2 linked regions of the Drosophila melanogaster genome follow. The protein of the gene in region 2 purifies or fractionates together with the protein of the main gene of each other region. This does not show direct contact. Each region holds a gene or a part of one and is shown on either strand. Other genes may lie near its edges.

Evidence for each region. The genes of interacting proteins can lie anywhere in the genome.
Region 1: the proteins of egg (region 2) and wde purify together in Drosophila melanogaster (affinity purification with western blotting; 4 studies listed by BioGRID, with this or other methods). This does not show direct contact.

What each region holds. Positions count from the first base shown.
Region 1 is NT_033778.4:10,805,572-10,810,483, reverse strand, and holds the start of wde (windei), read left to right. Parts: upstream 1-1,545; 5' UTR 1,546-1,744; intron 1,745-3,946; exon of another isoform or gene 3,947-3,996; intron 3,997-4,756; 5' UTR 4,757-4,797; coding exon 4,798-4,909; intron 4,910-4,912. Other genes in the region: CG12935 (uncharacterized protein), read right to left, coding at 1-233, 293-695.
Region 2 is NT_033778.4:24,774,627-24,782,102, reverse strand, and holds egg (eggless), read left to right. Parts: upstream 1-2,201; 5' UTR 2,202-2,289; coding exon 2,290-3,228; intron 3,229-3,286; coding exon 3,287-3,404; intron 3,405-3,475; coding exon 3,476-3,759; intron 3,760-3,812; coding exon 3,813-4,068; intron 4,069-4,130; coding exon 4,131-4,636; intron 4,637-4,694; coding exon 4,695-5,456; intron 5,457-5,527; coding exon 5,528-6,244; intron 6,245-6,302; coding exon 6,303-6,509; 3' UTR 6,510-6,569; downstream 6,570-7,476. Other genes in the region: TyrRS-m (Tyrosyl-tRNA synthetase, mitochondrial), read left to right, coding at 1-84, 143-303; CG3594 (uncharacterized protein), read right to left, coding at 393-1,145; Lcp9 (larval cuticle protein 9), read left to right, coding at 1,734-1,745, 1,802-2,068; Eps-15 (epidermal growth factor receptor pathway substrate clone 15), read left to right, coding at 7,130-7,195, 7,290-7,476. UniProt on the Drosophila melanogaster protein: Histone methyltransferase that specifically trimethylates 'Lys-10' of histone H3 (H3K9me3) in ovary. H3K9me3 represents a specific tag for epigenetic transcriptional repression by recruiting Su(var)205/HP1 to methylated histones.

The DNA.
Region 1 (4,912 bases), about 14 Mb from region 2:
ACGCATATCCAGGACGTAATACAGTGTCTTGCCCTTCACCTTAATGGGTAGCTGCACCCTGGCCATGTTCCGTGATTCCTCGGCGGAGACGCACTTTAATGGCACGGTCATAATGCGATTCCGGTTGAAGGGACCGTAGGTCACAAAGGAAACGCTCTGACCACCCTTTCTCAAGATAAGAAAACGCACCGATCGCAGGGTAAACATCCAGACAGCAAACAGTATGCCATATCCTAAAATGTTGGTTGAGTTTTATTTTCGGCTTGCCGAGAACGTAGTAAACCACTCTTACCTATCAGAAAGCTACAGGCTGTAATGCCATTTCTGTACTTATTATCGCCCAGATTTATGCGCTGGAACCACTTCAGCTCCTCTCCGGGTTTTTCCACCACTGGAGCATCCTTAAGCGTCGTGAAGGCGAAGTGCGAGAGATATGTCCAGAAAACAAACTGACACACCCCGAAAAAGTTAAGCATCTGGTAGAATCGGGGGTTTTCATACTTGAAAAGTATTATGTCCTTGGGGACACTGGTGTTCACATCGAAGGGGGCGGCTTGGGAGGAGAATCTCTTTATCGTGGAAGTAACCGGCGTTTTTGTTACAATGGCCGGAGCTGCCAGTCTGAAACTCTGGAGGCTAAGGCGCTTGATGGAGTTGACGCCCTGCCGCAGGGCAAAATTCAGCAGATTGCTCATCTTAATTGAATAATTCCCGCATTTGTTATTATAAAACAAATTAACCTATAATCTACAGATGTTTTTGTTTTGTTCCGTTTGCTATTGGTTCACTAGCTCCGGAACTGGAACTAGTTCAACAAAGCAGCCATCAGGGCTGGCACATGCTGACTCCGTTCACTAGTTCACCCATTGGAACAATTAACGAAAATAACACGATTTTTGCAATGTTCACCGTTGTATTTCATGAGAACGTCACATTACTTAAACGGGCCGAAAACATTTGTCAATATGATTCAGTTTTAAGCAAAAGAAGGGACAGGGGAGATCACGTCTTAGTTCCAACTGGCACTTAATAGTTCTGCTCCCATAAATAAAACGTTTAGCTATACAGCCCTAGTAACAACATATGATTTTGTTTGGTTCCAAACTAGGGATGTACACGTGCATGAACTGCATAACGTTTTTTATTTTTGTATATAAATACTATAGAAATGCTGCTTCTCCTCAGCTATTAAATATACATCCTTTTATAATATTACTATCGTAATGAGAAGGTAACCAGTTTAAGTTATATCTGGTCATCATGTTAATAATAATAATAATAATAATAATACAAATTGCGTAAAAATGCAAAGTTGAATATAAGATAAAATAAGTTTTGCCAAAATCCAACCTAAATAAATACAAAAATAATAAGTATTGTTAGAAACGTCCATAAAAAATGTCTTCTCGATGCGTATCAGAAATCGGCATCCGGAATCACGCGCCAATCTCTATTCCAAGTGCCGCTAGCTTGCAATCTGGGCGCTGCTCTTCGGAACCAGTTGTGCATAGACTGGTTCTTTTCGGCACCTTCTGTTGTTGTGCGATTTTAGTCTGTGTTTCAGTCTTCGTCGTTTAAGGGCATCGGAAGTGGAGTTGCCTGCGAATTGTAAACAAATCACGGAGAAGCTGTTAAATTCATTCAAATCATTGACATTTGATAGTTGCCGTTAGACCACAAGTCATATTTCAATAGTTTTCGGTAATATATAAGTTAATAAACGAGTTTGTCGTGTCGTAGAAAGGTAAGTGTAGTTTTTTTTATCCATTTTATGTTATATTTATAATTTTCTTTATAAAAATACCCTGTAATATAATGGTCCAATCGAATGGTACATTTGGGATTTGCATTTTTTTTACTGGGTTTTGAAGTTTTTTTTTATTTGGACTGGGTACGGGTACCATACGCCAGATATGGTACGAGTCTCTTTAAAGACATTTGTGTTTTCAGGGTTGTCAAGTGACCGCGATTTGCAAATCAGGCGAAATCTGATATATATCTGGATTTGTTACTATGCTATATTTTAGACTAGACTACCGACGTGTAGGCAAGACTATATACCGCAATGCCATTGCAATAGGACAAAAAATGACCTGCCGGTGGCAACCCTGCGCGACATCATGGTCTCAATTATACATTTAAAGACATTTGATTTGCGTCTAATCGGACACATCGAGGTTTTATATTATATTCATGATAAACATAATGCATACCTGGCAACCCTAAAAACATAAAATTGTACAATAGGTGAATAAAAACGCCGCCCGTTTTGCTTTTGCTTCTGCTTGCAACCTGCTCGTTTTAGGTTTTTCGGGGTTTAGTCTTTATCGAACGTCTGATACCAGAAACATGCAGAGGGCGCCGAGGGGATTTCAAAAATGTCCTTGCTTTCGTAAAGCATGCAAAAACTTGGATGTTTTTCGATCTAACCTCACTCTGCATCAAAATCGATACGTAACCTAAAAAGAATGTAAATGCGTTGCAAAATCGCACAAATACACGTTCTGATATACATACACGCTCACACCGATGTGCCGTTGCTACAACGAACTTAACTGGTGTGTGTGCGCGTGTTAGAGCGGGACAGCTATAATAGACATATAGCCCAAAATTGGCTTAAATACAAGACCGAACTTTAAAGACGATAAATTGGCCATATATACTTTAAGTTGCAAAAATACGACACCTAAACATGTTTGTTATCTACATTTGTGTGTATAAGCAACGGTTTTAATGGACCTAAGCATCTTGAAAAAAGTATTGCCATCAGAGCAAGTCGAAATTTAATGATCCAATGTCACTAGCTTCTAGGATCAATTTCTTTAATAGAGCTGATATCGAAGGTTTTAGCATTTCATCTACAAAAACAACGACTTTACGCCTCTATTTTTGTTTGCCCGGTGTTGTAGTTGTTGCTTTCGGCTTGCTGCTGTATCTTTGTCGTGCTGTGTTTGGCGCTACGCGAACTTTATTCAATTCCTACATACAGGCAAATATATATAGCCACGTGCATATATAAATTTGGCCTCTTGCTCTCTCTTGCAATTACTCTCCGGCCGCTCTCTCTGTCCGTCCCGCTCACTCCGCAACTTTCTACAAAACCGGTATCCTGGCAAGGTCCTAAGTTCGTTTCGAAAAGACCAGAAGGACGGACGGACTATAGGTTCTAAGTTTTGAAAGTTTGGAAAGTTTGGAAAGTTTCTTTTTTTGACAGGGTTACATTCTGTTACATTTTTGCTTCAGCCTTCTCTGATTCCACATAATCTTTGCGTTCGGCCTCCATCTACAAATCATCTATTTATTAACACTGGTTGGAGCTGTGTGTAGTTGCACTAAGAAATGGATATTCCATAATGTTCTTTACTTATATTGCTCCCCTATTAATTTGTAAACGTATAGTCGTCCCGCTCTAGCTGCCTGTTTCCTCATCTCACCCTGCCGCTCGCGACCAACAAAACGCGTTCTATTTGCGTTATTATTAAACGCTTTGCTTTTTACTCGTTGTTATCAAACAATGTTTTTTGATTCAATGAGGATCCCTGCTCACTTCATTTCGATTTTTATACCATCCCCTATTGCTTTTATTTTTATAATTTTATGGAGAAACTGCCATACCAAAAGAGACTGCCAACTTGCCATAGAGCACAATAACAATGAGGACTGTAGCTTTGCCCTATTTTTCGCGAAAGGTTAAAGTTCAAGATGTGAATGTAGTTTCCTTAAACTCCAGGTGGAATTACATTATCGAATCTTATCATATCATCCCGAGACACGCCCTCCCGCCGACTATCTTCCTCTTACCCGTACGCCCCTGCCGCTTTTACCGCTCTCAGCTGTTTGCTCTCTCGCTCTCATTTTCGTTCGTCGAGAGCTGGTTTGGCGTTCACCTCGTTCATTTTTGCACTAAACGCGGCAAGATGTTGAAGTCATTTTGATTTCTTCGAGTGTAGCCAAATCAAAATAAATCGTTAACAGGGTATCAGGAAGTTTAAGCATGTAAGTTACTAAACTCAATATAACAATGTGCAGTTACGCTATCACGTAAAAACGCAACAAACTCAACATAACCCCACTTTCGATAGTAAAAACTATAACTATAAAGTTATGAGCATAAATTAATAGGTAGCAGTTAATTTTCTCTTTCTCCCCATATTCGCATTTTTCGTCACGCACTTTTTTCCCTTGCACGAATATTTATCGTCGCTTTGCTTTGTCTTTTCGCTACAATCGTGTAGTTATTGTTGCGTTCGGAAAGCGACGAACGCTTAATACTACCAACAACAAGAACAATAACAACGGAGTAGATACACACCAAACCGAACACAAAAAAAAGTAAAAAAAAAAAACAAAAATGTTGGTCTTGAGTTATGATGTTCCTATCATCCTTTGACTATGGAACATCCATACTCAAAGATAACATTGCTTTAATGGCTTCGTATACTTTAGAGTTAGAAAGGACTTCAAAATGAATTCGGGAAAGCGGTTTATGAGTTTTGGCGGAGTCTTAATAAAATATCGCTGGCTTCAGACTCACTTAAAGGTATAATTCCCAAGTTATTGCATTAGCATTTTGACTGGCGAGAACTGGGAATAAGCTTTTAGCGAGCTTTCTTTTAAAAGCTATTTACAAGAAATTTTTGAATGAGATTGAATTTAATTTTTAAAAAAAATATGGCGGTAGCAGGGTTGTGACATGTTTGTTATATCCCAGAGTTGTCAACATACGTCGTGAACTATAATATGGTTTTACTTTTAGCAATTCAATGACGATTAAGTAAATCGATAAAAACATTCAAAATGATGGGAGTAAACCAGACCATGGAACTGAAGGAACTCTCTACAGAGGAAGCTTTGATGCGAACCCTATCCACAGAGCTCGGCAATGAAGTGGAACCTCTCTCCACCCCCGGTA
Region 2 (7,476 bases):
GTGCTACTATGGTGAACCTGTTGACCGAGCCAGGAATGTCCATCCTAGAGCTCGCCATGAAGGCGAAGTGCTTTCCCACGGAGAGTAAGTTATCTTTCTCTTTGGAAATATGGGGCATAATCGATTTGTGATCACTCTTTAGCGGATGCTGTACGCATTATAAACGCAGGCGGATTTTACGTTAACCAGAAGCGGGTGCAGAATATCGCCGAAGTGCTAACTACGGGCGTGCACATCCTGCGCAACGGAATTTCTCTGCTGCGCGTGGGCAAACGCAACTTCTATATTGTGCGCTGGCAATAGTTAACAGTAAACCTCTTATCCGGTAATGTTAACTTTTAATTGTTGTTAAATAATCATAGAATGGCTTACATTGTAAGAACTTATGCTATTTATGTGGGTCTGGGGGCGGGCTTTTTGCGCCACCGCTTTCGCGCCAGCATTTCCTTGGCCTTCTCCTTTTTCAGGTCCTTGTCGTAAAACTTGCCGCTCTTCGTGAAGGTCTTCTGCTCGTTGCGCATCTCGGCCAGCTTTCGGTTCTTCTGTTTGATGATGTTCTTCTTGTTGGCCGACTTCTTCTTGCCCGCCTCGGAGATCTGCACCTTGATGTTGCGTCCCTGCAGCTCTGTGTTGTGCAGCTGGAAGGCATTCTGGAAACTGCTTAGGTCGGCCATTTCCACAAAGGCGAAGCCCCCTCGTCGCTTCTTGGGAATGCGGATAGACTTGACCGTGCCTGCCGCAGAGAAGTGCAGCTCCAGGTCGTCCTTTGTGGTTTCGAAGTTCAGGTTCGTCACGTACAGGACGTGTCTGTTGGTTTTGGAGGCTCCTCGAAGCAGTGAACTCAGCTGGTCACTGGTTATCTGCCCATTTTCCGCAGATTCCTCTTCCTCGGCTCCGGAAGCAGCACTGCCCTCAGCGGCTGCCTCGTCGTCGGACTTGGCCTCATCCTCGCTCTTACTATCCTCCGGGTCACTGGGATTCCGTCCGTCCTCCTTGTCCACATACGTGCCCTCGAAGATCTCCCTTCGCTTCTGGTCATCGAAGTTTCCCAATAGATCCGCACTGTCGTCGTTGACTGTGCGTTGAACTCGCTTGGGATTGAAGAAAGCCTCCACCTCATAATCGCTGCCAGAATCACTGGCCATCGTGATATTTCTGGGGGAGATTGCAGTGCACACCGATACGCAGACACCACCACGTGGGATTCCCTCTGAATGGCAAATCTGTGCGGTCCCAGACATTTTCCAGCACTGGCTAATTGCGCGCCAAGAAATTCAAATCCCAGGCCATATTGCAATCGCAGCTTGTTAGAAACCGGTTGCAACTGCGGGAGCAAAATCAGACTGCTAATGGAGTTATGCGAAAATAATGCTAATCGGCGTTAGCATCGAAGGAACCGGTTAGCTCTTATCAGCTAAAAATTAATCGTGCGGTGCTGACAATTGATGAACGTGGTTGTTTTGGGAATCTTCCGCACAGATCTCCAAAGATAACCCCCCGAATATGATATGCCGAGTGGGGCGATAATTAATGCCTGCAGAATGACTGCATCTATGTCTTTTGTTTAATTAAGACAAACGACCGCTGGGAGCCAGTTATGAAGAAAATTTATGCAGTTGGTGATTCCGGCCGGTAAAATGTCAGTGGAGAGCTACATATAAAAGCGCAATTTTCGGCAACCAGCAGTCAAAATTTTATCGCTATCTATCAGCACACACATCCCCTTTCCAACCATGAAGTTTGTGGTAAGTGGCATCGAAATTAGATTTTGGGGACCTCTGAACAACGATTTGTCTTTTAGATCGTTCTTGCCTGCCTTTTGGCCGTGGTCTTCGCCAACGAGGAGGCTGATGTTGTAAAGAGCGACTCCGAGGTTAACTTGCTGGACTTTAACTACGCTTATGAGCTATCCAACCATATTCGCGCCGTGCAAACTGGAGCCTTGAAGGAGCACGACAACTGGGTGGTTTCCGGGGAGTACGAGTACGTGGCCCCCAACGGCAAGACCGTCAAAGTGGTCTACACCGCCGATGAAACCGGCTACCACCCAAAGGTCGTCGAGGCCTAATGAACAGGACCCACTCCCGAAGACCGAAATAAAAAATTAAATCCATTGCAGCAGCGAACATTTTGAATTTCCGTTCTTTTTCTTTTGTGTGAATAGACACTCTTCTTCTTTCTGCCACTAAAATCTAGGGCTGGCAAATTACGAGCGAAATTTTATACAATGTTATCGCTTGTCTCGCAAATTTGCATTAATGTGTAAAGTTAAGTAAACTCATTAAAACTATGTCTGGGCAGCCAACAGCCGTGGACTGCTTAGAGAGCAGTGGAAGCACAGTGGAGGATGTCCAAGAAACACCGGCGTCGAGGGAAAAAAGTTACGGGTTGCCGGTGCGCAAAGGAGAAAATAGCTTGGAGTCTCCTGCAGAACAAGCCGCAAAGGATGTGGAAATTGAGGAACTGACACACAGTGAAGCAATCGCCGCCACCGGTTCAACCAGGAAGCAGTGCCCATATGGAGGTAAGGCCCCTGATGAACCTGGAAAGTTGGCCGACGAATCGGAGGACCGCAAGGGAGAGAACACGAAAGCCATTGCAAGCAGCCCGGTTTTGGTAGCTGTGGATTCGGACAGCAGTGTTGAGCTAATAGAGAGTCCTGTCAAATTCTCCTCCGCCAACGAAAGTGAGAAAGATCCGCCAAAACCAGATGCTGTCAATGAAGCTGCGGCTAAAGAGGCCGAGGAAATGACTGATAGCAGCATCAGCAGTCCCACATCCGAAAGTTTTCCTGAAAAAGATGAAAAGACCAATAAGGAAAATGAGCAAGAACCTCCTGGCATGGAGGTAGATCAGGACGTCGAGGAGTCAATAAGTCGACCAGCAGAAGAATACAAAATTGAGAATACATTAAAAGGTCACAAGCGTATTAGCTTAACGGAAATCGAAGAACACAAAATTGTTGATAAAAAAGACGATGTCCTAGAGGTGGAGCTTGAAAAGGGCACTGCTCCGAAAGCTGCAGAAGACGAGAAGCTGAACGCTTTGTTATCAGATGGAGATGTCTTCTACGACAAGGAATGTGTCAACTGCAATTGCACAAAGCTTCATAAACAGTACGTGTTGGCTAACATGGCCACTTTAAACTTTTACCAGGTGCTCCGAAAGTCTTCCAAGCAGCAGTTCCTCTGCATGGGATGCCATGACACAGCAATGGACTTGTATGAGGTCAACTAGCATATTTATTAACTTAAGAGGGAAACTTAGAACGTATTTCTTTATTTAGGAGTATGCTGGACAACTAATGGCCAAGCAGCCGCTGCTGCTAAAGGATTTCCATCAGGATCACGCCGACTTTGTGGCTCTGGACAGCAGCGATGAGGAGGAAGAGGAGAAGCAGCCAGGTGAGACTGCTATCATGATAAATAAACAATAGCAAAAAAAAAAACGTACTAAATATATTTTATCCGCACAGAAAAATCGGACTTTTCGAAAAACAAGCTGCAGCTCATCGAAGATGAACTCGATGATGCCATCAAAAATGTACTTAACAAGGTGGATTTTACGGCTCAGCTGTCCTGGTCAAAAACTATTCTCCAGGCGAAAGCAGACCACTTGGAGCGACAATTCGCACTGGCAGATGTGGAACTCGAAAAAGTTCAGACCACCGCTGACAAAATGCACTGCGCTTTGTATAACTCGTGTCCGGTGGCACACAAACATCTGCCCACCCTGGACATTGAACCCAGTGACTATGTGGTAAGTAAGAAGTGATGCCGTTTGGATCTGATTTAATACAACCATTTACTCAGCATGAAGTTCCACCTCCTGGCGAAATCGTGCGTCCTCCAATACAGTTGGGAGAGACATACTACGCTGTTAAGAACAAGGCTATTGCCAGCTGGGTGTCCATAAAGGTAATCGAGTTTACAGAGAGCACCGCCATCAACGGAAACACGATGAAGAGCTACAAGATTAGGTACCTCAACACTCCGTACCAGATGATCAAGACAGTGACGGCCAAGCACATTGCCTACTTCGAACCACCGCCAGTGCGACTGACCATTGGTTAGTTCCCAATAGACCGGTTATTTATCAATCTATAAACTAACCCACTCATTGTGCACTAGGTACCCGCGTGATTGCGTACTTCGATGGCACCACTTTGTCGCGGGGCAAGGATAAGGGCGTGGTGCAGAGCGCCTTTTATCCAGGCATCATCGCTGAGCCGTTGAAGCAGGCCAATCGCTACCGCTACCTAATATTCTACGACGATGGGTACACTCAGTACGTTCCGCACCGCGATGTCCGTCTAGTTTGCCAGGCTTCCGAGAAAGTGTGGGAGGACGTACACGCCGCATCGCGCGATTTCATACAGAAGTACGTGGAGAAGTACTCCGTGGATCGTCCAATGGTGCAATGCACCCGGGGACAAAGTATGACCACTGAATCGAACGGGACCTGGCTGTACGCGCGCGTCATTGACATCGACTGCAGCTTGGTGTTGATGCAGTTTGAGGGCGACAAAAACCATACGGAGTGGATATACAGGGGTTCATTGCGCTTGGGTCCTGTCTTCAGGGAAACCCAGAACAATATGAACAGTTCAAGCGCACAGCAGCTGCGTGTCCCAAGAGTAAGCATCGTGTCGATTCATCCTGCGGTCCTAACTACAAAATGTCTTTCTTTTTCAGCGCACGGAGCCCTTTATTCGGTACACCAAGGAGATGGAGTCCAGCAGCAAGGTGAACCAGCAGATGCGTGCCTTTGCCCGCAAGAGCAGCGCCTCCGCCCAAAATAACGCATTAGCGGCTGCATCTTCGGCAGCAACCCCAGCCGGAGGACGCACCAATGCAGGAGGTGTCAGCACCAGTAATAGCGCAAGTGCTGTGCGACACCTAAACAACTCGACAATCTACGTGGACGACGAGAACAGGCCCAAGGGCCATGTAGTCTACTTTACAGCCAAGCGGAATCTGCCTCCCAAAATGTACAAGTGCCACGAGTGCAGCCCGAACTGCCTCTTTAAGATCGTTCACCGTCTGGACAGCTACAGTCCGTTAGCGAAGCCTCTGCTTTCTGGCTGGGAACGTCTTGTCATGCGGCAGAAGACCAAGAAGTCTGTGGTATACAAGGGACCTTGTGGCAAAAGCTTGCGCAGCCTGGCCGAAGTTCACAGGTACCTTCGAGCTACTGAAAATGTGTTGAACGTAGACAATTTTGACTTTACGCCCGACCTCAAGTGTCTGGCCGAGTACTCCATTGATCCCTCGATCGTGAAGGACACGGACATTTCAAAGGGGCAGGAGAAGATGGCGATTCCGCTGGTAAACTACTACGACAACACCCTGCCGCCCCCATGCACCTACGCGAAGCAGCGCATCCCTACCGAGGGTGTTCATCTGAATCTGGACGAGGAGTTCCTCTTGTGCTGCGACTGCGAGGACGACTGCTCGGTAAGACGTCTTACAGATCTGATTACCTCAAATTATACCCAGCCGCCCACTATTTTGTGTATCCCTATCAGGACAAGTCAAAGTGCGCCTGTTGGCAGCTAACGGTGGCGGGCGTGCGGTACTGTAACCCGAAGAAACCCATCGAGGAGATAGGCTACCAGTACAAGCGGCTCCACGAGCACGTGCCCACCGGCATCTACGAGTGCAACTCGCGCTGCAAGTGCAAGAAGAATTGCCTGAACCGGGTGGTGCAGTTCTCCCTAGAGATGAAACTGCAGGTGTTCAAGACCTCAAATCGTGGATGGGGCTTGCGCTGCGTTAACGACATCCCCAAGGGTGCTTTCATCTGTATTTACGCCGGCCATCTGCTCACGGAGACGATGGCCAACGAAGGCGGACAGGACGCCGGCGACGAGTATTTCGCGGACTTAGATTACATAGAGGTCGCTGAACAGTTAAAAGAGGGATACGAGTCGGAGGTGGACCACTCGGACCCGGACGCCGAGGAGGACAACGGGGGACCCGATGCCGAGGACGATGACGACTTCCGGCCAAACTATCACTACCAGCGCAAAATCAAGCGCTCTTCCAGAAGCGGCTCCACGCAGAACAGCTCCACTCAGAGCAGCGAGTTGGACTCGCAGGAGCGTGCGGTGATCAACTTTAACCCAAATGCTGATCTGGACGAGACGGTGCGGGAGAACTCGGTGCGGAGGCTTTTCGGCAAGGACGAGGCGCCCTACATCATGGACGCCAAGACAACGGGCAACCTTGGACGCTATTTCAACGTGAGTTGGAAGTTTTTTGTTATTTTGCCGTGTGGCTGATTCTCTTCTTCTCCCGCAGCACTCGTGCAGCCCCAATCTCTTCGTGCAGAACGTGTTCGTGGATACTCACGACCTGCGTTTCCCCTGGGTTGCCTTCTTCTCGGCCGCGCACATCCGCTCCGGCACCGAGCTGACTTGGAACTACAATTACGAGGTGGGCGTGGTGCCCGGCAAGGTGTTGTACTGCCAGTGCGGGGCCCCCAATTGCCGCCTTCGTCTGCTCTAAGTTCTAGCTTAAGTTAGAGATCCATACAGGAAATATACTCATTAAAGAAGAATTAGAATTAAAAATTTAAACTTTAAACATTATCTGTTCCGTTAGGGTAACGGAAACATTGCATTTTTATAAGCTACTGCTGTTCTGCACCGTCCGTTTCAAAGTACACAATTTTCTTCACGTTTAGTGTTAAAGGAATAAATATAGACAAATGAATTTTAAAAAATTATACTTTAAAAAAATAATAATGTTCGTTAATTTAACGGTATTAATTTATGTGGTATTTTAACGCATTTTACCTAGTGGTATACTTAATCATCAGCCGTACGGTATTTTTAATCGTTATCCGAACGGTCACACTATCCACCGAGCAAAAAAGCAAATTTAGGCTTTTTAAAATTCGAGAGTAGCTAAATTAGGGGCCGCAATGCGCCAAGCTCACCTGTAAGTGGCTCCAGCAAGTGTCTCGTCGCAGGTGCACAGGTGCTAGGCAGCAGGACTCCGCCGACGGCTGACTAAGAGCAGCTTATCCGCCCCTTGGGAAGAAAAAATCGATTTTGTGATAACGGGCTTACGCTTACGCGTTTTTGCACTGCTAGTCGGAACCAATTGCCAGTAGACTCCACACCATGAATGTGGACTTTGCGAGGGTGTGCGGGAAGCACATAGGCGTCTACGAGGCCTACTACAAACTGGTAAGCGCACCACGCCTCCAAGCCGCACTGTTACCAGGATGGCGGCCAATGTTGAGCATCCGTATCCACACCCACCCTCTATCGATTTTTGCAGATTGACCCCAAAGGCACAGGGGCAATCGAGGCCATGACTGCGGCCAAGTTTCTCAAGAAGTCGGGCCTTAGCGACGTTGTGCTAAGCAGGATCTGGGACCTGTCTGATCCGAGCGGCAAGGGCTTTCTGGACAAGCCGGGCTTTTTTGTAGCCCTTAAGCTGGTGTCCCTGTCGCAGGCGGGACAGG